Lonchura striata: one gene and its partners. The protein of the gene in region 1 binds, or shares a complex with, the protein of each later gene. Links are inferred from orthologs where the notes say so. Each region holds a gene or a part of one and is shown in the gene's direction. Other genes may lie near its edges. The genes, in order: COA1, TMEM186, CMC1 and TIMM21.

The links.
Region 2: COA1 (region 1) and TMEM186 share a complex: the UniProt entries of both Homo sapiens proteins name them as parts of the mitochondrial complex. The link is inferred for Lonchura striata from reciprocal best matches to the Homo sapiens genes COA1 and TMEM186.
Region 3: COA1 (region 1) and CMC1 share a complex: the UniProt entries of both Homo sapiens proteins name them as parts of the MITRAC (mitochondrial translation regulation assembly intermediate of cytochrome c oxidase complex) complex. The link is inferred for Lonchura striata from reciprocal best matches to the Homo sapiens genes COA1 and CMC1.
Region 4: COA1 (region 1) and TIMM21 share a complex: the UniProt entries of both Homo sapiens proteins name them as parts of the MITRAC (mitochondrial translation regulation assembly intermediate of cytochrome c oxidase complex) complex. The link is inferred for Lonchura striata from reciprocal best matches to the Homo sapiens genes COA1 and TIMM21.

The regions. Positions count from the first base shown.
Region 1 is NC_134603.1:105,060,048-105,067,236, reverse strand, and holds the start of COA1 (cytochrome c oxidase assembly factor 1 homolog), read left to right. Parts: upstream 1-4,183; 5' UTR 4,184-4,263; intron 4,264-7,189. Other genes in the region: inositol 1,4,5-trisphosphate receptor-interacting protein-like 1, read left to right, coding at 1-433. UniProt on the Homo sapiens protein: Component of the MITRAC (mitochondrial translation regulation assembly intermediate of cytochrome c oxidase complex) complex, that regulates cytochrome c oxidase assembly.
Region 2 is NC_134618.1:6,718,264-6,725,322, reverse strand, and holds TMEM186 (transmembrane protein 186), read left to right. Parts: upstream 1-4,045; 5' UTR 4,046-4,067; coding exon 4,068-4,076; intron 4,077-4,197; coding exon of another isoform or gene 4,198-4,345; exon of another isoform or gene 4,346-4,526; intron 4,527-4,678; coding exon 4,679-5,413; 3' UTR 5,414-6,984; downstream 6,985-7,059. Other genes in the region: PMM2 (phosphomannomutase 2), read right to left, coding at 517-592, 1,011-1,110, 1,778-1,869, 2,446-2,522, 3,454-3,507, 4,198-4,345. UniProt on the Homo sapiens protein: As part of the MCIA complex, required for efficient assembly of the mitochondrial complex I.
Region 3 is NC_134603.1:117,169,713-117,177,053, reverse strand, and holds the start of CMC1 (COX assembly mitochondrial protein homolog), read left to right. Parts: upstream 1-4,336; 5' UTR 4,337-4,384; coding exon 4,385-4,409; intron 4,410-4,495; exon of another isoform or gene 4,496-4,766; intron 4,767-7,341. UniProt on the Homo sapiens protein: Component of the MITRAC (mitochondrial translation regulation assembly intermediate of cytochrome c oxidase complex) complex, that regulates cytochrome c oxidase assembly.
Region 4 is NC_134603.1:58,092,726-58,099,559, forward strand, and holds the start of TIMM21 (mitochondrial import inner membrane translocase subunit Tim21), read left to right. Parts: upstream 1-3,832; 5' UTR 3,833-3,994; coding exon 3,995-4,271; intron 4,272-5,462; coding exon 5,463-5,525; intron 5,526-5,624; coding exon 5,625-5,722; intron 5,723-6,834. Other genes in the region: FBXO15 (F-box only protein 15), read right to left, coding at 2,889-2,908. UniProt on the Homo sapiens protein: Participates in the translocation of transit peptide-containing proteins across the mitochondrial inner membrane.

The DNA.
Region 1 (7,189 bases):
CTTTATCAGCAGCCAGCATCGAGGGGCCCACACCCCAAGCACAACGTGGCCCGAGACCTACAGCGTGGCAGAGACAAAGTTCTTGAGGCGCATGGCCAGGCCGGCTCCCCAGGACGACTCACACCTTAAATGCCTGCAGCTCCTTGCCCGTGTTCTTGCGCGCAAGGCCCTTTCCATCCCTTCCATCAAGACCAATGTCACGCGCCTGCTGAGCACCGTACCGGCGTCGCAGAGGCACAGGAGACATTTCCTGCTGCAGCTGTCGGATGCTCTGGAGCAGCTGCACTTATCTCTGGAAGGCAAACCCCTGGAGCCTTTTACAGTGGGCAGCCAGAGGCTTCCGGAGGAGTTCCGCTTGCCCCCAGATACACAAAGGGCTAGGCCATCCAACCTGTTCCACGGCCTGCCACAGGATCTGGCTGCCCACCCCTAGGCCTTGATCTGTGCCGTCGCCTGGCAAGAGTGCCGGCCTCTGGCCGCTGCTAGCGGGGCACGTAGAATCACAGCATTAGAGAATCACAGAATCACTAGGTTGGAAGGGACATTTAAGACCATCGAGTCCAACCCATGGCCTAACACTACCTTAGCTATTACCATGACCCTGCGTGCCATATCCAACCTTTTTTTAAACACATCCAGGCATGGTGACTCCACCAGTTCCCCCAGGCAAACGATTCCAGTACTTTACCACTCTTCCAGTAAGAATATTTTTCCTAACGTCCAACCTAAATTTCCCTTGGCACAGCTAAAGACTGTGTCCTCTTGTTCTGTCACTTGCTGCCTGGAGAGAGACACCAACCCCCACCTGACTACAACCACCTTTCCCGTAGTTGGAGGGAGTGACAAGGTTGTCTCTGAGTCTCCATTTCTCCAGGCTAAACAACTCCAGCTCTGTTCCTCACAGCGCTTGTGCTCCCAAGCCTTCACCAGCCTTGCTGGCCTCCTTTGGATGCGTGTGCTCGCGGGGCTTGCAGCTGGTGGCAGAGAACCAGCTTGTAGCTCCATGACAAAGACAGGAATGAATGGGATGCATAGACAGATAGATATCTGTCTATATACCTATAGTGTGTATATATTGATACAAATATTTTTACTAACAGATGTGTTTTAATAGATACATATTATAGCGATAATTCAGAAATGATCATGTTATCTTAAAAAAAGAAATAGCAAGTATAGGATGTCACTATTATGCCACAGTTATTTGTGGCTGTTGTGACACATATTAATCCTCTGTGGTTACTGCATTTATCAGAGGCGAGATTTTGATGATGCAGATATATTTATAAAATATGTATTATACATACTCATATTGTATTTACTACAAAACAGTAATTTAATACAATATCTTTAAAATTATCATATTATTTTATAAAAAGAAATAGCAAGTATATGATGTCACTATTATGTCAGAGTCATTTGTGGCTCTTGTGACACATATTCATACTCTGTAGTTACTGAATTTTTCGGAGGCAAGATTTTGATAGTACAGTTATATGTATACAATATGTATTATACACACACATATTGTATTTACTACAAAACAGTAATTTTATACAATATGTTTAGAATTAAATGTTTATCAAATATGTGGAATGTTATAGAATGAAAAAATCATCATGACGAATATGACAGTGGAATAATATAAATTGAGTATTTAATAGATCTGTTTGGATGCGTAGTAATGCTCCATAGTTAGCGCATGCATGACGAGCAAGCAAGGATCTGCTGTGCTCTTGTTTCAATAAAAGGCAGTTTTGCAGAATCTGGAGCATGCGAGACTTTCTTGCTCTCAGCCACACCTATAGTATTGGTAAAAGTCACCCGATGGGAATCTGGGCTTGTGAACAGTCTCTGCGAACTCAACCAAACTAACAGTGCTGAATTGGTTCTAATCAGCAATTAAGGCCACGTGCCCCTGACCCCCCTCTGATCCCAGAATCACAGCATGGCTCCGCTTGGAAGGGCCCCTAGACATTGTCTTGTTGCAAGCCTGCTGCCAAGGGCAGGGACACCTTGCAGCACCAGGCCACATTGCAGCAAGCCCCATGCAACCTGACCTGGAACACTGCCAGGGACTGGGCAGCCTCAGCTTCCATGGGCAGCGTGGCCCAGGTTGTCACCAGCCTCAGAGGCACACTTTCTTGCACATCTCCAGCCTAACCCTGCCCTCTGTCAGTGGGAAGCCGCTGCCCCTGGTGCTGTCCCTCCAGGCCCTTGTAAGCAGCCCTAGCGCAGGCCTCTGCTGGGTTTTGTGCAGGCTCTGAGAGGCTGCAGGAAGGTGCCCCAGGAGAAGCCCTTGGAGAGCGCTGGGGGCCGGGAGTGCCACCATCAGGGCAGCAAGCAGGGCCTGGCATGGCCGTCGGGGCGGGAGGGCACAGGCTGGGCGCTGAGGCCCTGCCAGCTGGAGCTGGGAGCTCAGCTGTGCGGCCCAGCAGAGAGCCACGGGCTCTCGCGGCTCTGCATCCCTCACGGCTGAGGCAGCGGCCCAGGCGCAGCTGGCCGGGGACAGGCAGCCAGCCCCGGGCCACCCTGAGGGGCAAACTGCTCTGGGGCCAGAGTCTTTGGTGGCTGTGAGAAGCGTGGCCAGCCTGCCTTGGGCCCCTAGGGTGCTGACAAGTGTGCAGAGGAAAGTGCCAGCCCAGCAAGAAGCAACAACCAATAGCCCTCCCTGCATGGCCATAGTAATACTGGTGTCTTATGCTGGCCGTCTCTTATGTCTCTCTTATGTCTCTCCTTCCATGTGGAAATAGCAGAGGGGATCTCTATGAATAATAAGCACCTTTCAGAACCGATAAAGCTTCACCAGTGTTGGACGGGTATTGCACAGCTTTGGTTCTTGCAAAATTACCGGGAAAAAGGGACAGCAGGGGTAGGTAGGCCAACACAGGCACAGCTGAGAACGGAGGACAAGTTTCTGGCCTAAAATCTTTCTTCAGGTCTGACATGTATGAAATAGATTTTTTTTCAGAGAGTAATTAGATATGTAGGAAAAGGTAGGATGAGAGAAAGAATTAAAAAACGCTGTAACTTTGCATAGAAAACAATCTCTTAACAGGGCTTCTTAGGAGTGTAAGAGGCTGGGCCTTTCACTCCTTTTTTTGTTCTCTCTATCTCATTGTCTCTCTTTTGGTCATATCTGCATGTCCTTTTGTTCTGCTGATTGTCTTTCCATACTGTTTCTGCCTACTCTCGCCTTTCACAATTTCTTTAGTATTACAAGTCCTAGCAAGGAGTTATATTAATCAATTCTGCTACAATATAGAACCTTCCCATTTTTCAATTTTTTGAATTAATTAATTGAATCAATTAAACATCTGAATTAATCAATTCATCTCTTGTATAGAAACCTCTCACTTTTTAATTTTTTTGTTAGGAACAACAAAGCAATGCAATAATGTAACCAAATCCTGATTGTAGAAGTTGACTGGAAACTGCTAGAAGCGTGCCGTGGGAAGAAACAGTTTTAATTTACAATCTGAAATAGCAGACTGTATTCCACTAAATCACCGCAGTAATGCAACAGGTGTAAATAAGTAGCTGGAAACTGCTTAGGTTACAGAACAAACTGGCTTTGCAATATCCCCGAACATAATGCCTTACTCACCTCAGGCAGGGAACGCATACAATAAATATCAAAGCAGGTAGGATGCACTAAGGAACAGCAGCAGAACACACTCTGATGTCATTGATGCACTCATCATTTAATTTCAGATGAATCAAAGCCGTGGGCCAAGGCTTAGGTTCATGTAATCCAGCACTGCTAACACACACACACTTGACAAACACCAGAGCCGAAGTGCTGAGCTTTGGGACATTGTTGGACAGCTTGTTTAAATAAACTGCAACAGGGACAACAGCTTACACAGAACAATGTGATAAAGACAGCAGTGGTTAAATTAAATGCTAATATCACTGTGTGAAATGAGATGGCCAGATTACATTCAGAACTTTCTTTAGGGGTTGCTGGACAGACACTGTTGGGTTTTTTCAATTTTGACTGCACAAGAGTGGTTTTATGGTGTTCCTTGTCCTGAAAAAAGAATAAATAAAGGAATAATAAATCACCACAGAAGAGAGTAGATCTGGGCAGCAAGCTCAGGTGTGGTCGGGATCTTTCCGAGTCAGGCGCTGCCCTGCCACCGTCCCCTCCTCTCCGCCATTCGCAGCGCCTCCCGCCATCGCCCCCTGCCGCTCCCCGCCGGCGCCGCAGCCATGGCGGCCCCCACGGCGCCCGCCTGAGCCCGACGCGACCGCGCTGCCGTGAGTGAGGGCGGGCGGCCGAGGCCGGGGCTCGGCCAGGGCGTCCCGGCCGCCGCTCCCGTCCGCACCGCCGCACCCGAGCGAGCCTCGCCGCCCCTCCCGGCGGGCTCGGGCCGGCGCAGAAGGGCCCCGGGGGGCGGAAAGAGGCGCGGGAGGGGGTTGGTACCGGGGGAGTCCCGGCCACGGCAGCTCCGCGGCGGCTGCGGGAGCGGCGGGGCCGGACCGGGGCGCGGAGCGGCGCGGCCGCGGTGGGGGCGGCAGTGCCGTGAGGCGGGCGGGGCTCGCTCACTGCCCCGAGAGCCTCGGCACGCTTCCCCTCGGCCCTGTTAGTGGTGCGTGTACTTAAGATACTTCTCAGCCGCCGTCGGGAGAGGAGTGCGAGGCAAATTTGTCTAGGAAGCTACAAAGAAAACCTGATACGCAGAGAGCAATCAGAGCTGCGGCAGGAAAGATCTCTTGTTGCTTAAACAGGCACAGGCACGCGGTGCCCTGTATTGTGGGGAACTCGCTGACTGGAGCACATCCCGGAGAAATGTGGCGAGGGTAGGGCGATTTCCACATAAAGCAAGTTGTTTGCAGTGACTCATCCACGTAGTGAGGAATCAGATTTACTTTGTTATTCAGGTACAGCTGGTGAAGCAGTTGGGTTGTCTTGAACAGGTCTAATGTTCAAACACTGCAAAGGAAAGAGATTATTATGTTTCTCTATAAAGATTGGAACTTCCCTGTTCAAGTCTGCTCTGATCACTGAAGCAAATATCATTTCCCCTGTCCCTTCTTATCGGGGACGCTGGTTGCTCCCGTTTTCCAGCCTAGTTGGTTTCTTTCTGCTCATTCACATGAACTCTAAGTGCAAGAAGAGAGCATGTAACTCGAAGAGTGGTCTGGGTTGCTTTTAGAGACATTTTTTTATGAATTGAAGTGTTGAAACAAATTTCAAAAATTCCTAGTAGAGATTCAAAGGCTGGAGTAATAGAGGGCTGCGGCAGCAAGGTGGCCCTGTTCCACCGCACAGCTGTACATCGTGCTGTACCTCTTGCATCCGGCTTAGGGATCAGCTGGCTTTTTGAAAGTTGGTTGTTCCAGTGTTATCAATGCTTTCTAGACATGGCTAGCACTGCAGCTGCACAGCCCAGCAGCAGGACGGGATAAGTGGCATGAACACCTCCATTCCAGCAGCAACTCCTCAGACCTGTACTTAAATCCAGTGTTAAACTGCAGCTACTCTTTGTTTTTAGTCTAAGCTTTGACTCAAATTTGAACAGTAAACCGGTGTTTCATATCATGCAGTGGCCCGTGTCAAGGGTTCTCAAACTTGACTGGGGGTGTGGTAGAGAAAGATGACTGCATGTTGAAAGATAACAAAATGCTGCCTTTCTTCCTTGAGATCCTTGTGCTATTCAAGACTTGGCAAAAATTGCTGCCCTTGCTGTCTCAATTATTTAACTGCTGAAATAGCCCAGATCAGCCAAATTCCATTAAACACAAAGTGCAAAGGAAAGTTATCTTAAACAAGCAATGTACCAATTGTAAAGTTGTTGCATTTATTCCCCAAGGAAGAAAGTATTCTTATCAAGAGGGGGATGAAGAGGTTAGCCGAACTTAATGTGTCATTTTTTTATTAGATGAGCTTTAACTTAGACTACTGTAAATTGAATGAAAAAACATGGAGAAGGGAGATAAGGAGCTTTTGGGATTAAAAATAAAAATAAACCCCAAAGCCTTCATTAGTATCTTACAGCTTTTTCTAAGTAGTGCTTCGCTGTTGCATTTCTGAAATTAATGAAGTGTGCATGGATTATTGCTGAATGTATTTTACTTCAAAGCTGGTTATTCCCCAGAAGTCAGAGGCTTTGAGTGTCTGTTAACACAGTATTTTCCAGGCCACTTTTCTAATACAAACTTCTGGGTTTTGACTCAATGCCAGAGGAGCAAAATAACATCCTTACCTTTGCTGCTGTGACCACAATATAAGATCAAGCAGGAAGAAGAGCTGATGCTGGGGGTTGTTTTCACTACACTTAAGACACCTTGAGAGTTGGAGCTCACACAAAGAGATGGGCCCATTCACACCCTCCCTAAGCAGTGTGGCTGTTAGGGCACTTGGCCTTTCTTCTGTATCTTTAGACAGCACTCCTGACTGCATCTTGTCTGTTAAGCAGCCCAGCTCCCCCTGCGTGAGCATTGCTGTTGCACAGCAGCTTTTGCTCCATGTGCCTGTGCTGCCTTACCCAGGCTGCAGCACAGCCCTCAGAGCAGCTCTGAGGATGGTTTGGTAGCAGCCTAGCTTGTGGTTCTGGGAATTAGGAGGAGGCTCTAGGCTTTGGACAACTTTTATGTGTAGATCTCCCTGCTTGTCCAACTAAAACACAAGTCAACAAGTGAAGTGTGTGAACACCTACCTTGAAAATCTTGCATATACAAGCAAGTGGGAGGGTAGAGGGGGAAAGAAAGGCACTGGCTGGATTTTTCTATTTCTCTGTGCTGATGTTAGTGACTAAGTCTACAGTTTTGAGCTGTGATTTTGCGTAACTGAGGAGGATACAGAAAAGGACTATGTTATGTCTCAGATTCTGGGAGGAGCAGTTACATGACCATCAGGCTAGTGTGGGAGCTAACCCTTTGAAAATGCAGTTTTACTTTTTTCTGCTCAGCATATTGTAAGGAATAGAAAGTTCTTGAGAGTATACTTCTGAAAAGCAACCTGATACACAAGAATATTGGAACATGTTAGTAAAATTTCAAGTTATCAGTTCAGCATAGTTCAGGCTGTGAGCCTGTTGCGAGCAATTTGAAAAAGCATCACCAGGTATTTTATTGTTTGTCTTTTAGCATGTTATGAGGGTCCTTCCTGGTATTAGAATGTCATAAGTGACAGAATCCTTTCATCTGCTGTGGTGCAGTGGTGGTTTTTTTAACAACTGCA
Region 2 (7,059 bases), on another chromosome or scaffold:
AAAAATAATCAAAGGCAGGAGTGTGGTAATATATTAGAAGAGACGGTGAAAAAGCAAAATGCATAAAAAATTAATTCCCCCTTATTGTATTTTTTTTTTCCTTAAGCTTGCACTTGCTTTTGGATTCTTTCTTTTCTCCCACACAATGCAGGTATAGCTGAAGAACCAAGGGCAACTGGAACAGCACTGAGGGAGTGGTTCTGATCAAAACTGATTCACAGAAACCACTCTGACTAATCCAATGCATCTAATATCCTCCAAAATGAGCAGAATCAGTCACACAACTGACATTAAAGGACAATGAACTGATGACAAGACATGAAGTGCTCTTTGTTGATGGATTTCAATTAAAATGTCCCAATAAAAACCTGAGAGGAAAAAGAGGCTCAGTCTTGCAACCACCCCCAGAGAGACCTGTCAGACAAATGAGATGGGATGTCACAGCCATAAGAGAATATGACTTAAATGAAATTTAAATTGATTGATATTTTAAATGACATTCTTTTAAAGTATTACCTATTGAAAATGTGAGGCCTTTGCCTGCAAATTCTCTTTGTAGATCAGCTACAAATTTCTCTCTTATATGCTCCTTCTGTTAAGGAAAAAAGAAAACAAAACCAAACAACAGTTACATGCTGTAACTGTGTTGATTTACCAATGAAAAGATAACCCAAAACCACCTCTAAAAAAGAATGGTTTTATTGATTTGAATGGACCCAGGCTGGTTACACTATAGAGGAGAAAGTATGGTTTTACCTAGGACAGGGTTTTCTAGAAACCCCATGAAGCAGGATGTTCAGTGCCTGGATATTGGATTAAAAACATGAGCCAAACCCACCCTTCTGCAAGTAATCCCTGCTATTCCAACAAAAAACCTCACACTGTCTATTTCCTGAGGTCTGAATGAGGAAATTAGTTACACCATATGGAAAGGATTTAAATTACAAAAAAAACTTGCACAAATTATAAAAGTTTTTAAAACTGCCTTCTCCAGGAGAGCTGTAACTCACTTTATCAAGTTCATAGAACTCAAGTCGTTCTTCCTGGCTGCAGCTTCTTCCAATGGGGGACACATTCAACATCCCATTTCGGAACTCGATGAAAGTGCCTCTGCAAGGGAATTGATAACAAGACAGAAAATAGATGAGAAAATTTGCTCCAAACACTACATAGCACAATAAATTTCCATTTAATTCTAAAGGCAGTGAGAATCACCTGTCTCACTACTGGTACCTCTGGCACCAGTTAGTCTTTTGAACTTTGAATATGGCAACCTCCTCATCATCCTTACTGGCTTTTAGAAGTCCCATTTGGTTTAACAAGTGTGACTGGAGCATCCCATCAAGCTCAGAGCCTGACAGGCCAGGCTGTCAGTGTGGGTGAAGCTGCAGAATTCACAGCAATGTGGGCAGTGTTCCACCCAGCACATTTCAGTGTCTGCAGCAGCTGCACCTCACACATCACACAGAGCTGGTCTGGCTGCACTTCTCATCTCTGGAAAACACTATGCTGCTGAATTCCAAACATGGCAAGGGAACACTCCTACTTCAAACTGAATCTCCTTCCCTCTAACACAAAAGTGCCAAATTAGTATTTCAAGCCCTGTACTCCAGCTGGGAGCTTGTCTTTGTATGCTTGGACAGAGCTCTGTTTCACACACACAGTGCTGTTTCCCAAGCAGAAATTCCTCTTTTTTTTCTTTTGCTGAGCACCCTGAGCTGAGCTTTATATGCCCTATGGAGAACAGGGTCACGCTGAGATGTCTGTGTGCACATACCTCTTTTTTGGCAGCTTAATCTTTGCAATGTAACTCAGGCAGTAGTTGATGACTTCTTGAAGGATGTCCTCGCCCAGGTGGCCCTGAATGCTCTAACAAAACAAACACCATTCAAACAAGGGTCCAGAATTTGAGATTCTAAAAGCAAGTCACAAGGAAAACACAGACATTGGGTAATCAGGCATGGTTAATACCACAGAAGAACAAACATGCCTTCAAACAGTGACATCAGCTGATGCTCACATGGTACTAACTAAAGGCTCTCATTTTGCTTTTTGTTCACTTTATAACACCAAACTGTCCTTTAATATGATCCTACTTGAACCTGCTTCAGAAGAAAACTGTGCCACGGGCAGCAGCCCTGAACAAAAAGCTGCATTTAATGTCTGTTACAGCCAAGAATGAAGAAAAGGAGCTTGTTCCTGCAGTAAACTGGAACCACTGGTCAAGGCAGCAAATTTAGCCAGGATCTCTTTTAAATGTTTACTCTCCATTACTTATGTTAAACATTACATGCCAAATGAATGATCCATTAACAGGACTAACATATGAAAGCAACAGCAATTTTAGTCTTTGAAAGGGTGATTACAGAGGACTACACTGTACAAATAAATCAAAATCTTGTTTAGAAAATTTCTTTTTCTCACTATTGGAAATTTCACACTTACCTGCTTGCTCAGGAATTTCCCATCTTTGTATGCTACAAGGCCATTTTCTGAGAACACATAGTCATATTTTTCAATCACTGCAAACAAGCAAAAAGACAGTAACTCATCATTTCCCCTCAATGCTTAATGCAGAATTGTCTTAAATGCTAAATTGGTTAAAATACAGCAAACATTAACTCCTAAAGCATGAAAAGTTTCAGCAGCATAGCATCAAGCACAAGATTAATGCTAGTCCCATTCCTCACTATGATCAGCACACACCTCAGATCACGTGAAGTCATTTGTTTGACTTACCTTTGGTTTTACTTAGAGGCATATGACTCTTTACATTAAGTGTAAAGGAATGCCCAAACACGTGGCACATGGCCTGGCTAGAGAGCAAGTCAGATACTGCCCTTTAGGTTTGTTTCCTCAGTGTCACTAATCTTCAGCAAATGTCTGGGAGTTGCGAGTCTCAGCACTACACAAGATGATGATGATATGGTTGACTGGAGACCACTTGGGAGGCAAACGAACTCGGCTGTCTGGGCACTACAGGAGTTATCAGTGGCATCAATTGAGTAAAGAGCATTAAGAATAAAGGACTAAGCTAAGGCAAGAGTGCATCGCTGCATCAGAACCCCGCACTGAACAAAAGCAGGTCCTGAGGGAAGTGCTGACAGCGGACAGCCACGCGTGTATGTCACACACAGGACTCCACTGTACACACAGTGTGAAAATGCCCTCCCAAGGCTGCCAGCGAGGCAGGATTTCACCATCAGCAACAATCCCTTAATTTGATCTACAGACAGCGGTGCAAGCAGGCTGCGATTCCCAAGGGCCGGTTCGCAGCTCCCCACAGCCTGGGTGCACCACAGCAGCACCAGGAGCCAGCTAAGAGCGAGGGAAGAGGGGATGAGGAGCTTCAACCTCCAGCTGCCCTTCACCGCGGCCCGGAGCGCGGCCCTCACCGTCCTCGCCCAGCTGCTCGCGGATCTTGGCCAGGTCCGAGCCGCCCACCACTCCCACCTTCGCCTTCTGCCGCAGCCGCTGCAGGAACGCCGCCATCTCCGCCGAGATTTTCTGCGGTCCAAAACAGAGCGGTCAGCCGTGCCGGAGCCCAGCGCCTCCATCCCGCCACGCCGGCCCACACGCGCTGTGTCCGCGGCGTTCCGAGAGCCAAGCGCGGACACGCCGGGCCCCGCGGAGTGCCGCGGAGTGCCGCGGAGTGCCGCGGAGTGCCGCGGAGTGCCGCGGAGTGCCGCCCGCCCCCCGGGCTCGCAGCGCGGGCCGCACTCGCCTGCCGCGGCGGTGTCAGGGTGCCGTCCACGTCGAACAGGCAGAGCGCGGCGGGCGGCGGCGCCATGGCTGCGCGGGGCCGCGCCTCCCGGCGGGGCCGCGCCTCCCGGCGGGGCCGCGCCTCCCGGCGGGGCCGCGCCTCCCGGCGGGGCCGCGCCTCCCGGCGGGGCCGCGCCTCCCGGCGGGGCCGCGCCTCCCGGCGGGGCCGCGCCTCCCGGCGGGGCCGCGCCTCCCGCCGGGGCCGCGCCTCCCGCCGGGGCCGCGCCTCCCGCCGGGGCCGCGCCTCCCGCCGGGGCCGCGCCTCCCGGCGGGGCCGCGCCTCCCGGCGGGCCGCGCGCGGGGCCATGGCGGCGGTGAGGGCCCGGGCTGCCGGGCGGGCTGGTCCTCCTTCTTCTCCTTCCTTCTCCTCCTTCCCCCTTCTCCTCCTTCCCCCTTCTCCTCCTTCCCCCCTTCCCCCCTTCCCCGTCTCCTTGCCTTTCGCCTTCTCCGTCCCGCTCGGTGACGGCTCCTCGCCCGCGTGCTGCGGCGCGGCGGGGGCAGCGCGGAGCTTCCCCTCCTGCCTTTGCTCTGCAGTCCTGCGCCTTCCCAGCGTCTGCTCCCGCTCTCCCGCACCGTGCTTCATTTTTCTTTCCTGTTCTCCTAAATCTGCGGTTTAAGGGGTTATTTAGGGAGTGGGCGGTTTCAGCAGCTTTCCCTGGGCTGTTGCTCAGACGGCGAGAGGCAGGGGCTGTGCCAGGCTCGCTCGCTGATAGCAGCTGTGTTAGCGAGGATTTCCCTCGGTCTGCAGGGAGGGATGCGGGCACAAAACCAGTTTCCTGTCAGAGCTCTGGTTTAAGGTCACAGTGACCCGGGGGTTTGCTTTACTGGCTTTAGGCGCCCGAGTGACCAGCTCTGAGCTCTCAATTGGGCTTTAAAGAGCACTCAAACGATGACCTGTGGGCATCTTACCTTACAGGCTTGGCTCTGCACTAGGACTAAAGCCTGCACGGCAGCAGCTTTTGGGAGATCTCTACAGAAGGAGCTCTGGACAAGGTCGTGGAGAAGGGAAGCTGCTCGCCGGCCCTGGATTTTTGGTTCGTTGGAGTGTTTGCAGTCACAAACCCAACGAGTTGATGGTGTCAGTAATTATCTCAGGAGACCGCGAGAGCCGCCTGTGTGTCTGTCCCACTCAGCCCCTGCTGCAGTGCTCCAGCAGAAGGCTGTGGATGGGCGGACAGAAGAGTTCAAACTGGTCTACAGGTTCCCAGGGATAAAATACTGCAGGGTCCTGTCAAGACTGAAGCTGCTGCAGACTGCCACCTCCATGGTCATGCTGCCTCCCATCTGCTACCTCTACCTGCAGGGCCAGGTGTCTCAGAATATCCTCCTCTATACAACTGGCATCGCTGTCTTTGCTGGGGCAATGTTGTATGGTATGAGCTACTTTTTCAGAAGAATTATTGGATTCATCTACTTAAGTGAAAGTGGACAAACTGTCAGAGTGGCCCACTTGACATTTTGGGGAAGACGTAATGATATTTACTGTCCCATAGAGACAGTAGTGACTTTGGATGAAGTTGGAGATAGCAAGGACGAGCTACTTCACCAGTTCAAACGGTATAACAGTACAGATACTTTGTATTTTACAATTAAGTATGGCCAGATTGTAGACAGACAGAAATTTACTCAAATATTTGGAGAATTTGTGTGACACAGCACCTCATTTCCACTGACTGTCCATGTTCATTGTGCTTATTGTTTCATGAGGTTTAAGTAGTTTACCAACCTACACATCCCTGTCCTTTTCCTGTGCAAAGCCTGCTGTAAGTACACCCAGTGTAGAAAGTCACAGTGGTAAGGCACAGTCCACTGGATTAAAGGTCTTGCAGCTTGTATATGGTGTGAGGAGTGTCTGTTCCATGTAGGATTCAGTAATGTCACAGCATTCCAAGCCTGGACTGTCCAAATTACTGGAGCTGACCCTGGCTGTTTCATTCTATTGGCCTCTTTGGTGGTTATGAAGCATGAAAAATCTCTTGAAACGAAATGCAGGAGCTGCCAGAGCATCCTCACTTCAAACTCAGTGTTTCTTTTAGCTAATTTCAGGTTGGCTGGGAAGCCTTTGTAAATTAAAGCTGGTCTGGTACATCCATAGGATGGGTACAGCTGAATGTCAGAGAGGGACATGCTCAGGTGTTAATGCCATTGAGAGAACTGGGAAGGTGTGTGGGCTGTCCTGGCCTCAGGAGGGTCCTCCAGGATGGGAGTGGAACTGGGCAAAACAAGGGTGTGGGCTACAAGAGACAGTGGCAGCTCAGCTGGTAAGTTAAAGGCAGGGACAATATTTCAGGAGCCTCTTACAGAAATTGCCATTCTTCATTGGAATGGGAAAAGCAGCACCTGTCTCCATGAAGGACTGTGATTCCATGGTACTGGTATGACTTCTCCTTTTCCAAAACCTCAGTAGAAATGAGGAATTTAAACCCAAGAAAGAACCAAACATATCACCTATAACATGTAACACATTTTTTTGAATTGTCAGAAGCAAGATAACTCCTTACACCCCTCTTCTAGCTTAATTTGAAACTGGCAAATAAACTGACTCTCACCAATAGTCTGGAGTGTTCTTTCCTTATTTTTTCCTCATATGGAGTGAAACCTCTGTTTCTTGGCAGATCAGCAAAGGATCAGTTAAGTAAAATTGCCATTTAAGTGCACAGGGTAACCCTGAATTACTATTTCTAACTTTAACTTTTCCTAGTGGGGTTCTGTGAGTTTAAATTTTGGCTGACACTGTCTAGCACAGCAGTATCAGAAGAAATCCAAATGTTCCTCGGTGTAAACACCATGGCAGCAAAATACAGTGGGCTGTACAGGTATACTGCAGTTTTTGGAGGTTTATCTTCATCAGAATGTATTTAATATATGCACTAATGGTTCAGTTTAGTAGTGGGTGTAAAAGAAAAAGCCCTGGAGAAGATCAATTATAAATATTTTATTTAAGAATATTGATTACACATGATTGATGTCATTTGTTATGAATCTGTGTACAGTTACTAGTTACACCATGAAGTGTACTTAAGTATTTGTTTAAACATTTATTTGGCACTGTCTACAGTATGCTGTAAACAATATTAACTTTATATGCTTCAGCTGTAGTGCTTTCTATGTATTCTCTAACGATTCATCAATATGTTGTACACAATTATACAGTTACTGAGTGTCAGTAAAAATTATAAAAACACCTAGAGTAGTCATAATAAAAGTGAAGATGTGGTAAGACTTCAAATTACTGGACCTTTGCTTCTGTAAAAGTACAAGACTTGCTAGAGACATTCACTAAAACTACTGCACTGA
Region 3 (7,341 bases), about 12 Mb from region 1:
TGGCAATTGCAAATAAGGCCCTCAACAATTTTGCAGTGACTTCAGTAAGAGTACTTTCCCTCCAGGAAAGAAAGAAAAGTTTATTTGATTCTAAATATTCTTATTTAAAGCTCCCCCACATCTCGCACCTATGAATGAATTTCACATGGGTAATCACAACCCTTTACTGGAAGTTGTATTTCATGAAACAAGATCAAAAGTGTCAAGAGCGAACAAACATGTCTAAGAAGTGCTACTTGAAGATAAGCCTTTGAACTCATTTGACCAATGCTATTGTCAAAAAAAAAAATCACACCTGTGTGCAGACAGATAGGCTCTCTTTATCTGGTAAAAACAAGGTGTAGAGACTCATGGGATAGATAATTAATCTCTATTGCTATCTATAGTTTCTTTGTTAACACTGTCTTGGTTGAAGTGTGAAAATATGTTCACACTTTGGAAAATGGGCGATCAGCTAATCAAATGACAATATGAATCTTAGAAACACAGAAATTACTGTAACCCAACACTACTACTTCTGACTATATAGGGTTTTAAAAGTTGTATAAAACAAACATTCGCTCAAGCATCCTTCAAGACCATAGGGGAAGTTATCACATCTTCCGCACTGTAACAATCAGTGCAGAAATTGTAGCCACCATCATCAGTTTATTTCCACTACTACACCCAGTATTTTACTCTACGGGAATTAATTGCAGGGAGTATTTTCTTTGTATAGACAAATTCCAAGAACTCTGACAGAGAGATGGCATAAGCAGCACTGAATAACCAGGGGCACTAAGCAGTAGCCACTGTTCTGTTAGGGCCCTGTTAAGTAGCAGTTGTGTGTATTAAGTAGTACTGGTCTTACACCAGTGCCCCAGGAGATGTCCCAGTCAAGCAAGTTTACCAGATAAGTGTCTCAGTTAAACGAAGCATACGGTATGAACTTTTATCAAAGTGCTGCATGGCAAATACCCCACACATTTCAGCACAACTTCACAGGGCTGCCCAGGTTGTGCAAGGTTCATACTTAAAAAGATCTGACTAAACACAAATTGCATACTCCAGGTGTCATTTCAAAACTCTGTCCTGGGACAAGATATAAGTTAGACCTCATGTTTAAGGGAGACCCACTTTGCACTTTTTTTTCCTTTTTTTTTTTTTTTTTTTTTTTTTTTTTTTTTTTTTTTTTAATTAAACCATCCCTTTATACCCTTGGATGCTCCTACAGGATGGAGTTCATTTTCACAGGCACTTCCACATGAATGAATTAAGTAAATTTATCTTTTCTCTATGTAAGTCGATGATCTTACTAACATCAAGACTGCATATAAAACCATGAAGAACATGTATTGACAAAGTTGTGCTTTTTCATCTGTGGTATGAAAATTCTTGATATGGCACCTAACACTTCACGTCTCTCACACAGTAACTTTCTCTTTTCTGGTGGCAAAAACTGTTCTGCTTCTGTTCATTTAAGCTGCTGTAAGAACATAATTTTACTGTGTCATTAAGTCAGCCAATGTGCCACTTCCTGGGATCACTGCACTGGCTCCCAAGTCAGACACAAGATATTTATCCTAATTTAAAGCTCTTTGTGGACAGTTGCTACCTTACTGTCTTATGCCATTTCTGCTCTGCATGTCAGCTTCATTTTCTCATCTGTCAAGATAAGACTTTCTCTGATACTTTCTCATTTCTGATAATTTCTACTAGCCCCAAATAGCATGAGACTGTTATCAGACTCACAGCTGCATATGCCCTCCCTCAAAAACTATCTCTGACCCTCAAATCTCCAGAACAAAGTTGTTCTATCAACTTTTTTTCCTTTGTTCTTATTTCCTCAAGGTGTGTCTTAGTCTCTTTTGCCCTTCTCAGCTTCCATCGTTCTTGTCTGTCAGACTTGGAAATAAAACTCCCAGAAAGTCCTGTTTCCAGAGCTGCTACTGGAAGAAGCAGCAGCAGAGGACAACTTCTCCAAGCTACAAAGCTATTGGACATTTATTTCTGCAGGTACTGTTTCCATGAAAGAAGCAGCAAAGTTCTGGCCTGAAACTGATCAAATTAACACAACACACGGAGCTGACATGTAAGTTCAAAGATCTTCATCAGTAAAAGAAATTTTCAGAGTTCTAATTTTGCAGGGCATATATAAAACATCAGTAGCCAAGAGTTTAAGAGCAGCAAAAATTACTAACTTAAATAATGCCTTTTTTTAAAGGACTCAACTTACTTTGAAAGCATACATTCCCCTTTTTTGGCTCTCATGCTGAAAGCTCCTCTGCATCGTGTTTTCTTGTATTTTCTCTTTGTAGATAATATAAGAACTCTTTGCGGATTGGCTGGTATCTTTTTTTTTTTAACACTCTCTTATATCATTGCAGAAGTGGTGTAGACAAAAACCCTTAATAAAACAAATATAAATAAATTGACATGTTGCATTTCCATTGCTTTGTTCAATTAAAATTCTCAAAACAGCTTATAAACATTACCTGAAATGGTATAGTTTAAAGTTACAGAAAACAATTGTAATATTCATATTTTACTCTAAGGAATGAGATCAAACTTCTTGTTAAAAAAAGAGAAGCATAAAGGCACTAAATGGTAAAAAGCAGAAATGCTCTAGATCAGTAAGGCCAAAAGCATTCATGTAGAAGATTTTGCCTACATCACGCTCTACTAATTTTACTAATTTCTGTGAACGTATCAACAAGAACTTGGGTCTCAGTGTGGCCTCAAGTTGAAACAACACATTTTCTAATAAAGAGACAAAATTTTCAAATGGGGAAAATAATGTCAATCTGGGGAAAAACAGCCCTTGAAACTTTGATGGAAAATAATTTTAATAATAAATAACATGGCATTATTTACATTCGTCCTACTGAATCTTTTAGACTGCTTATTATCTTTCAGAGGCAGACAATCTGGAAGTCTGGGGAAGGCTCCTAGGTTTCTCACTTCCCTGAGAATGCAATGTTTAAAACACACCTTTCCACTGAATAGAAAGTAACAATGTCAGGTAACAGAGGAAATGCTACATTTGGAAGAATTTTTTCAGCCTCGTTTAAGAGGCTACTGCATAAAATGACTGATTTTTTATATCACTTGTCAGTCTAAAATGTTAAAGATAGGAAAAGAGGGTAGGCTATCTGAAAATTATGGCTTGTATTTGTTAAAACAAGACCCAAGTTTTAGATATGTCTCCTTACTTCTCGTTTCTCTCAATTTCTCAGGAATCATGTTCTTGGGTTTTTAAGTGCATGACAATTTCTGACAATTTATTACTTTTTAAATTAATTTTTTTGCTCTGTGTTTTGTGTCCCAAAAAGTGGTTATTCTTGTTTCATGCAAGTAATAAGTGAAGGCTGGTCAACCAAATATATTGCCTCCCAACTAAAGAGTTGCAGGAGGGACACTAGATTTCCTAGTTCCTCTGTCAACCGCACCGCTGTAACAGGAATGTGGTCCCAGCGATGCTGAGGCGTGAAAAGGGACCTCTTGCCCGCTGACTCGAAATCCCTTTTTATGGTCAGAAACCAACTCATCGATAAAAACAGCCACTGAAATTCTCATTTGCCACTTCAAGTCCTTGCTGTGGAAGCCTCGATCACCCCAAGGGCTGGAGGATGTGCCACCAGTCCCTGTCAGAGGCTGCACACAGACACATACAGAGGCTTCCTCGAGGTTCCCCGGGAAGCTGGCGCTCACCCCAGGCCTGTTGGGAGCCCAGATCTGGGCTCCTCAGTACAAGACATGGAACTGCTGTGGCGGATCCAGCTGAGGGCAATGACTGGTGGACTGGAGCATCTCTCTTATAAGGAAAGGCTGAAGGAGCTCGGCCTGCTCCATCCCGAGAAGAAACATCTGATAAGGAACTTTATCAATATAAATATCTAAAGTGGGAGTGCCAAGAGGATGGAGCCAGGCTCTGCTCCGTGGTACCAAAGACTAAGACTAGAGACAACAAGCAGAATCCGATGCACAGGGAATTCCACCTGAACATGACAAAGAATTTCTTTACTGTGCGGGTGGACCACGTACTGGAACGGCTTACCCAGAGAGGGCGTGGAGCGCCCCTCACTAGAGATACTCCAGAACAATCTGGACGCAATCCTCTAGGATGACCCTGTTTGCGCAGGTAGGTGGACCAGATGACCCAGCGCAACCCCTTTTCAATCTGACCCATTCTGTGATTTTGCCATCCCTCGGTGACTCACACCGCACGAACCCAGCCGCGGCGCCTCAGAGCCGCCCCGCCGCCCACAAACGCCCACACGCGCGGCCCCGCGCTCCCGCCCCCGGTTCCGCCCGGCGCGGGGCGGAGCGCGGGAGCGGCCGGGCCGTGCCGCGCCTGCGCCGCAGGGCCGGGGCCGCGCGCAGCCGCCGCCGCGCGGGGCCGCAGATGGAGCCTGCCCCCGGCGCCGCAGGTAGGGGCGGCCGACGGCGGGCGGGAAAGAGGGAGGGAAGAAGGGAGGACGGCGGCGCGGCGGAGAGTCCCCACAGAGATACTCACTTCACCTCCGCCCTCCTCTCCCCCGCCGCCGCTCGCCTCGCCGAGGCTTCCTGTGGGAAACCCCCGTCGCTTTCCGCCGGCCCCTCACACCCGCCGGAGAGGGCGGTAGCCTGGGCTGAGGCGCACAGCCTGTGGGTGCTGGGAAGGGCCACCCTGGGGGGCTCCTTCCCGGCCTCCGCGAGGATCCGGGTGGCCTGGGACGTTCCTGCTGCCCTCGGCGCGCTCCCGGCGCCACCTCCCTGTTCCCTCCTTGCCTCTCTGCCGCCGCCGTGACCTCCAGCGCCGGGACGCGGGGCGGAGGCGGCTCCGGGCGTCCCGGCGCCGCGGGTGCCTGCGGTAGCCTCGCTGGCTGCGTAACAAACGTAAAGGCAAAGCACCAAGGCTGTGATGTCCTCGGCTTCGTGCTACCGGGGTCTTGTCCGAATGGTTGTAGACACGTGTTTACAGGAGTGAATGTAAACCCATGGCCTTTATACCCATGTAGTGTTTATTCACTATGCCCAGAGTTCCCGAGTCAGGAGTCTCCTGCTTGGTGTCTTAAAAGACTATTCCCTCCAGCTAACGCGAGGTGTTGAGTCTCCCGCAGGTGGTGGTAACCTGCAATGGTCGTGGCTGTGCACCTCCGTCCCTGCTGCCTGTGGCTGCTTGTCCAAAAGCCGAAGGATGCTGGACAAGGCCAGGCTCTGAGTTTCTGATGCAAACCTGTTTTGGATTTGGGTCTCCAGGCCTTGCAAACAAGGCATTCATATAGTCAAGTTCTGGGATTATTGATAGTATCCTCTAAACATTGATCTGTTATTCAGTTAAGAAAACGTTATAAAACTTACCGTGGTATTTCAAGTGGCAGATGATCATCTACAGCGTAATTTCACCTCCTGGTTGTCGTTTGGAAAAAGCCTAGTTATTACATTAGTTAATTCACAGATTCACAGAATAGGCTGAGTTGTAAGGGACCCACAAGCATCATCGAGTTTGACTCTTAAGTAAATGGTCCAAAATGGGATGAAACCCACAACTTGGTGTTATTAGCAGCATGCTGTAACCAACTGAGCTAATCCCAGCAATTCAACCTGTTGTGATTTCAGTGCAGAACAAAAGCCATGGCACCGAACACTGAAGTCATCAGCATTCTGCTTCCATATTTATGCATGTAATGACATTATCTGTCCCTCCCAAACCATACTGTGATTTTACCTTAGCTGTGGTAGGACTGCTAAGGGTGTACTTTTGGTACCTGCTGTGTGGCACCAATACTGAGATTCATCTCCTGAGCAGTGACATTGCTTACTGACACCTCTCTAAATCTGCTATCTTGTTATCCACTATCTTTTGCTTTCCTCCCCGCACTCCCCATCAGTTTCTGGCTTATACAGCTCTGTTGAAAACCTCAGAATGTACAAAACATGAAGATGTCTAAGTGAGGTAGTAGAGAAACTGAAGCAATAGCTGCAAGAGGTGTGAGCTGCCCTGTTTGTATTAGGAAGGTGTTAACACAAATACCCTGATGTGGTAGGTTTTAATGTTTTAAGCATTGTTAACTGCTTCTTGGCTCATATATGAGAAAAAAAGCAGAAGTATCACAGTTCTGTAAATTGTTACCATGACTGATACTTCATTTTATGGTCACAAAAGACACAAGTATTCTCATGGCTTTGAAAGGCAGTAGGGAGTGAATATCAAGGAGTCCTCTGAAACTCAGATTGTAGAACCTGTAAATTATGTTGTGATTTGTATGGGAGGAGTTTTTTTGATAGCCATAGTTTGGGAAGAAACTGTGGTTGTGTCATTAGGTGATTATATCCAATAAATAAATCGGTAGTAAACATGTTCACAAGATTTTATGTTCATAAAATTGCAGATTATCCTGAGTTGAAATATATCCACAAGGATCCTCAGGTCCAGTTCCTGGCCCTGACTTCCCCAATAATCACGCTATGTGCCTGAGTGTGTTGTCCAAATGCTTCTTGAACTCTGTCAGGCTTGGGTCCTGAGAACTTCCTTGGAGACCCTGTTCCAGTGCCCAGCCACCATCTGGGTGAAAAACCTTTTCCTAATATCTAATTTAGAAAACGTCCCCTAACTCAGCTTAAAGCTTCTGCTTTTCTCCTTGTGGGAAAGCTGTAGACTGCAGTGAGATCTCCTTTCAGTCTCCAGGCTGAACAAACAAGTAACCTCAGCTGCTCCTTGAGTGGCTTCAGGCCCTTCCTCTCCTCTAGACCCCTCACCACTTTGTAGCTCTCCTTTTGATGCTCTCCTAAAGCTTTATATCCTTGTATTGTGATGCCCAAAACACACAGGACTTGAGGTGGGGCAGCCCTAGTGCAGAGCAGAGCAGGACAATCCCTTCCCCTGCCTGGCTGGTGATGCTGTCCCTGCTGCCCCCCAGGACAGGGCTGGCCCTCCTGGCTGCCAGGGCACTGCTGGCTCTCATTCAGCTTTCTGTCAACCAGGACACCCAGGTCCCTTTCTGCAGTGCTGCTCTCCAGATGCTTTTCCCCCACTCTGCCTGTACATCCAGAATTGCTCCATCCCAGGTGTTAAACTGTGTTAAACTTCACATGGTTGGTGATTGTTCAGCCCTTAATTTGTCTAGGTCTTCCTGGAGGGTCTCTCTGCCTTTGAGTGAGTCAACAGCTTCTCCCAGTTTAGGAAAATGTTACACTATTTATTTTATCCTTCTCCAAAATCAATGTGCTGCAGCCCAGCATCAAATTTGAAGCACTTTCAAAGCTATGTACAGTGCTGCTTTTGGGAGCAGAGGCCATGGGTTATGAGAAAACTCATTTTATTTTTAATATGCACTTGATTATAGCTGTCATTTTCAGGTGGTGATGTTTGGATCCATA
Region 4 (6,834 bases), about 47 Mb from region 1:
ATACTTTTATACTATACTATGCTGTTTACTTGCATAAACAGCAACAAAGGAGATTTAATCCATGAAACTGAAGGCAGCTAACAAGCTCTAAGGGATGTCCAGATGTTAGTCAGGCAAATTACTTGTTGGTAGAATTACTTTGTTAAGGTTTAGGGCTTGACATGCTTCACTGATTTCAGACCTAGTGGGAGGTTAACAAAGCTTGGGAAGAAGGATGGCCACTGCTAGTGGACATAAAGAATGCAGAATTTACAGGCCACAAGGATACCTGGAACAACTCCCAAGACAAGGAAGAAACTATTAAAGCCAACTCAGCAATTGTGCTGAAATCAGCACCAGCTTCCAGAAGTATGAGATTGCAATCACTGACCCAATAAACTCACTGCCTCAAAAAAGACAAAGACTGAAAATGCAAAGTAATTAGCATGAGAATCATGATCCAACAGAAGATAGAAAAGTAATTAATAAGAGAATTGTCTTACTTGTATCCAATAAAAACTAATTCCTTCCTTAGCTAAAATGTATAAAATAGTAAAATGTTTTATTAGTTGGTGTGCTGGCTTTGTGAATTTGCCACTCAACACCCCCTTCTGTGCAGTACTGTAAAGCTATCAAATACCTTAACCCCGGTGCCTGGATTGGCCTCTTGCATACCACAGTGAAAGAACCTATTTGGCAACATTTCCACATCACAACTTAGATAGAAAGGAAAGGAATTTTGCATATTTCTAACACAAATTCTTACAATCCAACCACTCACACATTTTTCCAAGTTTTCTGATAGGAAGGACTTTGTAAGCTGCAATTGCAAACAAATACTATCATTAATCCACAGAGAAATATGGAGACAGAGTTTCAATCTTAAACCAAATCCTTACACTTCATACCCACTGATGCCACCAAGCAGGCAGAGCTCCCCATTCACTGCATTACTGACTTTAAATTGCCAGCACATTTCCAACACCTGGCCAAACCAGCTCTGGGTTTCTAGGCAACCAATCCATATCGGGGCGGGGGGGGGAAATAGCTAATTTTAAACTATATGGGTACCATATACATTTAATGCCTTCTGGTTTTGATTTCAGATTGATTTATGCTCAGAGAAAAATAAAATCAAAAGAAATTAACAACTCTGGTCTACACTGTCAATGGTGCTATGTAAAAAAAAAAAAAAAAAAAAAAAAAACCCAAACAAGACACAAGACATTTTACTGAGAATTTCTATAAACTTAACAAAAAGACAAGCAGATTTCAGCTTAGGTGTCAATCACTGATAGACCAACTAAGTTAACAACTACAAAAGAGTAGTCTTATAATAAATACAACGTGGACTTCAAACAAGGGTTTTACTCATGTATCATTACCAAGAACTCTTAGATGTTGAGGCACTAACAAACTGCCATTAAGGGGATTTAGAGACACAAGCTGTGCCCTGTATGTTCCAGGGCAGCACATCCCGGGCTATTCTCTCCTGAACAAAGCAGAGTTTGAGCATACTCTATAGGGACACAACTTCACAGACTCCTGCCACAGGACCAATTCAGATAAGAAGCTGGATTCTGGATTTTAAAACACACTACCTTGGACAAGCATAACCTGCATAGCCTGTATTCAGTCCTTCTTGCTCATTTAAATCACCCTCCCTCCTCTTCTTCACTACAGGGAGAAATATATGAGGAGAGGAACATTTTGCCCACACATGCTTTGAAAACTTTAATGTAACAGCTATTGTTTTTGTAAGCTTCAATAAAAAAAAAAAGGCAGAACTTTTGCATTTTCCGAAACAAAAATATTCTCAAGGTGTGAAGAAACAAACAGCAATCCCAATCCATAAATTACTTTTCAAGTACTGTGTGTGCTAAGATTTTAAATTAGCATTCACAGAATGCTTTTACATTGCATTGACACAGCTTGGGCAGATAAGCCTAAGATAAAAATCAATGACAGCTGTTACACCCCCTCTTTAGAGACTTCTAGAACCATTGAGATGATCTTACTTAAGAGGCACAACAAATTCAGTTGCTTTTTCATTACCTTTCAACCTGTGGGGCTGTTTTGTACCAGTATTTTCACTTTCACACCCTATAATACTTGCAGTGTGCCTTGGTTTTTTGATGGTCAGCAAACAATTGTCTTTCAAGTAAATTTCAAATAATGAACAAAAAGTTTTAAGCAATGATAAAACCTGTCTCCTCCACCTGTTAAAGCACATCTGGGGATAAACAAAAATAACGTTTTGACATGGGTTGGTTGGGTTTTGTTCTCTCAGCTAACAATTTCAGTCTTTTTAATAGGTGGGTATTACCCCAATCCATTTGCAGGTTTAAAAAAAAAGGGGGGGTAATACAGCAAGGGGAATGAAACTGTGCTGAAGAAACGGGTTAGCAGAAAAATATGCTTTCTCAACTTTGCCTCTCAGGCTGATGCTTTAAGATTCTGAAAGCTGAACACGTACTGTAAGAAATAAGACAACCACACCTTCCACAACTATTACAAAGGCCTAACCACCCTGAATACACATAAAGCAGCTATTCAACTAACTTCCTGGATATTTATTATAGCACCTCCTTCAAGCTGAAGGACATACCGAAGTTTAAGCTCCCCTTTCCAGGCAGAACAAAAAGTGCCAAACCCAGGCCTCCGTGCAGCTGGCAACACCAGCGTTTTCCCACTGCAAGGTGCCGGGGGGGAGAGGGAAGAGGGAGAGGGAAGAGAAAGAGGGAGAGGGAGAGGGAGAGGGAGAAGGAGAAGGAGAAGGAGAAGGAGAAGGAGAAGGAGAAGGAGAAGGAGAAGGAGAAGAGAAGGAGAAGGAACCAACCCTCCCCTTGGCTGAATGCCAAGCAGGCAGCCCCGGGCCGGCAGAGCCCGCTCGTCGCGCCCACCATTACCTGCCACGGCCCGTCGCCATGGGCGGGACAGCGGCGGCCTCGCACCGCCGGCGGGGAGGGGCGGGAGGAGCCGGAGCCGCCGCGTCCCGCTGTGCGCGCGGCGGCGGGGCGGCGGCAGCCCGAGGAGGCGGGGCGGGGCGCGGGGCGGGGACGGCGGGAGCGTTAACGGCGGCGCTGCCCCAGCAGCGCCTTGTCCCCTTGAGCCTCCTTTTCTCCAAGCTAAACATCCCCAGCTCCCTCAGCCGGTCCTCCTAAAACTTGTGCTCCGGACCCTTCACCAGCTCCGTTGCCTTTCTCTGCACTCGCTCCAGCAGCTCAGTATAAACGGAGGGCTTCATTACTGAACACAGTACTCAAGGCGTGGCCTCAGCAGCGCCGAGTACAGCGGGACAGTCGCCTCCCTAATCCTGCTCACAACACTGGTTTCGATAGAGGCCAGGAAGCCTTTGGCTTTGGCCGCCTGGGCACACACGGGCTCACGTTCAGCAGCTGTCACCACCCCCCCAGCTCCTTTTCCAGCACCTTTCCAGCCACTCTGTCCCCAGCGCTGCCTGCGGTTGTGAGCAGAACCCCACACTTGGCCTTGTTGAACCTCGTGCCATCGATCTCGGCCCATCGATTTAGCCTGCCCAGATCCCGCTAGCCGTCTCCATCCGTGGAAACGTCAACTGCATCGCTTTAATGTGTGCAAGACCAAGAAAAACACGTATGAGAACACAGCTTCCAAAGGGCGACCGGCAGCGCAGGCGCGGCGGCAGCGCCGCCCGCCCTGCCCTGGAACGAGCGGGGTCCCGGCCCGCGGAGGGCGGCGGCGGCGCTGGGCATTGCGGGCGCTGTAGTGACCGCGCTGGGAGCCGCTCCGGCGCCGGGCGGGAGAGGGAGCCCGCTCGAACTACCGCTCCCAGGACCCGCCGCCGCCGCTCGCTGCTCCGCCGTCCCAAACGTTTCCGCCGGGGCAGCCGTAAAGGTGCAGGTGGGCTCCTGAGCTGGAGCAGCGGCCGCTCGGCGCGGAGGCTGCCCGGGCGCGTCCCTGGTGCGGTGGCGAGAGGCACCAGCTCCGTTCGGCTCACCTGCCCCGGGCGAGCCGCTGCGGGGCCGGCGGAGCCATGCCCGGCGTGCTGCCCCGGGCGCTGCCCGCCTCCCTCGGGCGGGGCTGCCCGGGCCGCTGGCTGCTCGCCACTCGCGGGTGGGCGCTCCTGGGCGCCGCCGCCGCGCCCCGCTGCTGCCCGCGGTGGCGGCACTGGCCCCCGCTGCTGCTCAGAGCTCGGAGCTTCGGGACGCAGGCGGGAGGGCTGAAAGCTGCAAAACCTGGCCGGGAGAGCAAAGATGTGTCCGTGCAAAGGGCGCTGAACGAGGAAACGCTGGTGTCGGCGGCTCAGAAAGGTAAGGAGGAGGATGCTGTGTGCTGCTCAGAAGGGCTGGAGGCTGTTCCTTCTGCAGCTAACGTTTTGGAGTTCCAAATACCAAGTATCTAGGAAAAAAAAATATCAGCACACCAAGCGGGTTTCTTTTCACATCGTATTGTTTGGAGCAGATGTTATATTTCTGTGTATGCATTGCACAGTCAGAATTATGTGACTTCTAAACAGCCTGTTCATCTAAGAATTATCAGGCACAAGATGTAATAGCCTCTCATTTTCCCTTTCAGAAGAAATACCTATCACATGTAGCCTGTCTGTACGGCTGTTGATCAAGTTCATCTCCAACAAAATTGTCAAAGTTGTACATGTGATGGTAGTTTCTTTATGGATTGCCTTCACTTTAGTTGGTCTCACTCACTTTCAGTACTTTGAAATGACTTGTGAAAAACTTCATAACTTTGAAATTACTTATGAAAAACTTCATAACTAACTTCAACTGATTAGAAGGCTGCAGTAGAGATAGTTATTAACATTTCCTCCATAACTTGTACTCCACTGAAATGCACACTAAAAGATAGTGGTGGTCTCTTTCCAAGTATTCAAATATATTGAAACAGAGAATCTTGTATGACTTATTTTGCAGCACATACTGATACTTGTACTTTAGATCAAAATTGAAAGATAAAAACTAATCAAACAGCAGTTAATTAAGTTTTTTAAAAATTATTTTGGTCTAATTGTTTTTATTGTTGTATTGATTGCTAATTCATAAAATCAGTTATTTTCATTGTGTGTAGCTTAAAAGCTTTCACTTTTTTTTTTTTACTTCTTTTCTTCACACAAGGATTGCAGTGATTATAGGTTTAGGTAGTAGTGTGAATACTGCAGTGCTAAATACCTCATTAGTTCCTAAAAAGTCTAGCTCTCACACACCCAAAAAGCAGCAGTAATTGCTACTTTGGATCTTGAAAACATCTGGCAAACAGAAATAATAAGTCTTGACACAGAAATGCAAACATGCCCTGTAAAATATAAGAGATGTTCCATGGTATCTTTTACAGCAATGAAGCATTATGGAAACTTACTGGAACTTTTTCTTCTGCTAAAATGTTGTTTGAGCTACAGACTAACAGAATAGCATTTATGTAAGAAAGTCATAGAAGTGTTATTACCCAAGGTTGTAACTTACATGTTGTTTTCTGTTTCATTTCAGTGAAAGAAGCTGGAAGAGACTTTACCTATTTTATTGTGGTGCTTGTTGGAATTGGTGTTACAGGTTATTTTTTAAAATTACATTTTTTATCAGAAGACACTTTTCATTAATTCCATTTGGTTTGATAAGTTTTCATTCCATCTGATGTTGTTTCTGTTACAGGTGGTTTGTTCTATGTGATTTTTAAAGAGCTATTCTCTTCTTCTAGTCCAAATAAGATCTATGGAGATGCCTTGGAGAAGTGCAGATCTCATCCTGAGGTTGGTTTTTGAGCTTTAGACATAAGTTTGTGTCTCTCAGTAGTTACTGTCTCTCTTAAGTCAAAACTTTGCGTAAGGAATCTCACAAGCTATGTGAAGACCCACTTGGTGCTTTAGCAGTTCTGCCAGTGCTTTTAGTTGGCATGGGGTGTGTCAGCTCCAGAGCAGAGCCTCCATTAGTCCAAAACAGTGCAAACATTGAGATTGTGTGAACTAGCCTGCTAGAAGGCAAATGAGCATGCCACAGCACAAAAACTGATGGAAATACAGTCTGCCCTTCAGAGCATGTGCTTGTGTCACCATACAGAAAGTTTTTGGGACTTTTTTGAGTGCCTGTTAAATGTAGCACTTGAATTCTGTGGGTCAGAGAGGCAATTGGTCCCACTAAGCTCTGTTGATCTTATCTGATGCCTTTTCTCAGCACACTTACTCTATTGTGGCACTTCACTATTGTTCTGTCATTCTGTGAGGCACTGCACTGATACCCAGGAATCTAAATTCTTCATTTGGCTAACTGGAAAACAGGTGGAGAACAGTCATGGGATCACACAGTCATCATAGCTAGAAATAACCAAAAATCAATGTGAAACTAGATTTTGAAAATACTTCAGACAAAGAACCCTTCACACAAGATTGCCACAGATGTCTTTGAGGATAACCTAGAAATGAAGTTGCTCGAATAGAAATGAAACTGCTTTGGAACAAATTTGTAGAATTAAAACACCTTCCCAGTACTTGCACAGTAAAACTTAACCTCCTCTTCTAACCAAATTTAAAGTAGGTTTAAGAATAAAGTGATCTACTCTGACTTTATAGATCTGAAAAAAAAGTTACTGAATTTCTAATTCCGTAGTGTTTTTTAGATAATATGAAGGAGAATGCATTTGCATCTTAAACTTTGAAATATATTCTCTTGGAGGAGACATGAACAAATATTTTGTGGTTTTTTTTTTTTCCATTTTTTCATTTTATACAAAATGTCAGTTTACATGTCTTCATCTCAAAGAACAGTACAAATGGAAGATATCAATAGGATTTATTTTAGACATTGAATACAGGACTGAAAATAATAAAAAGGACTGGAATACAGAGGAGTTTTCCTTAAACTGTTT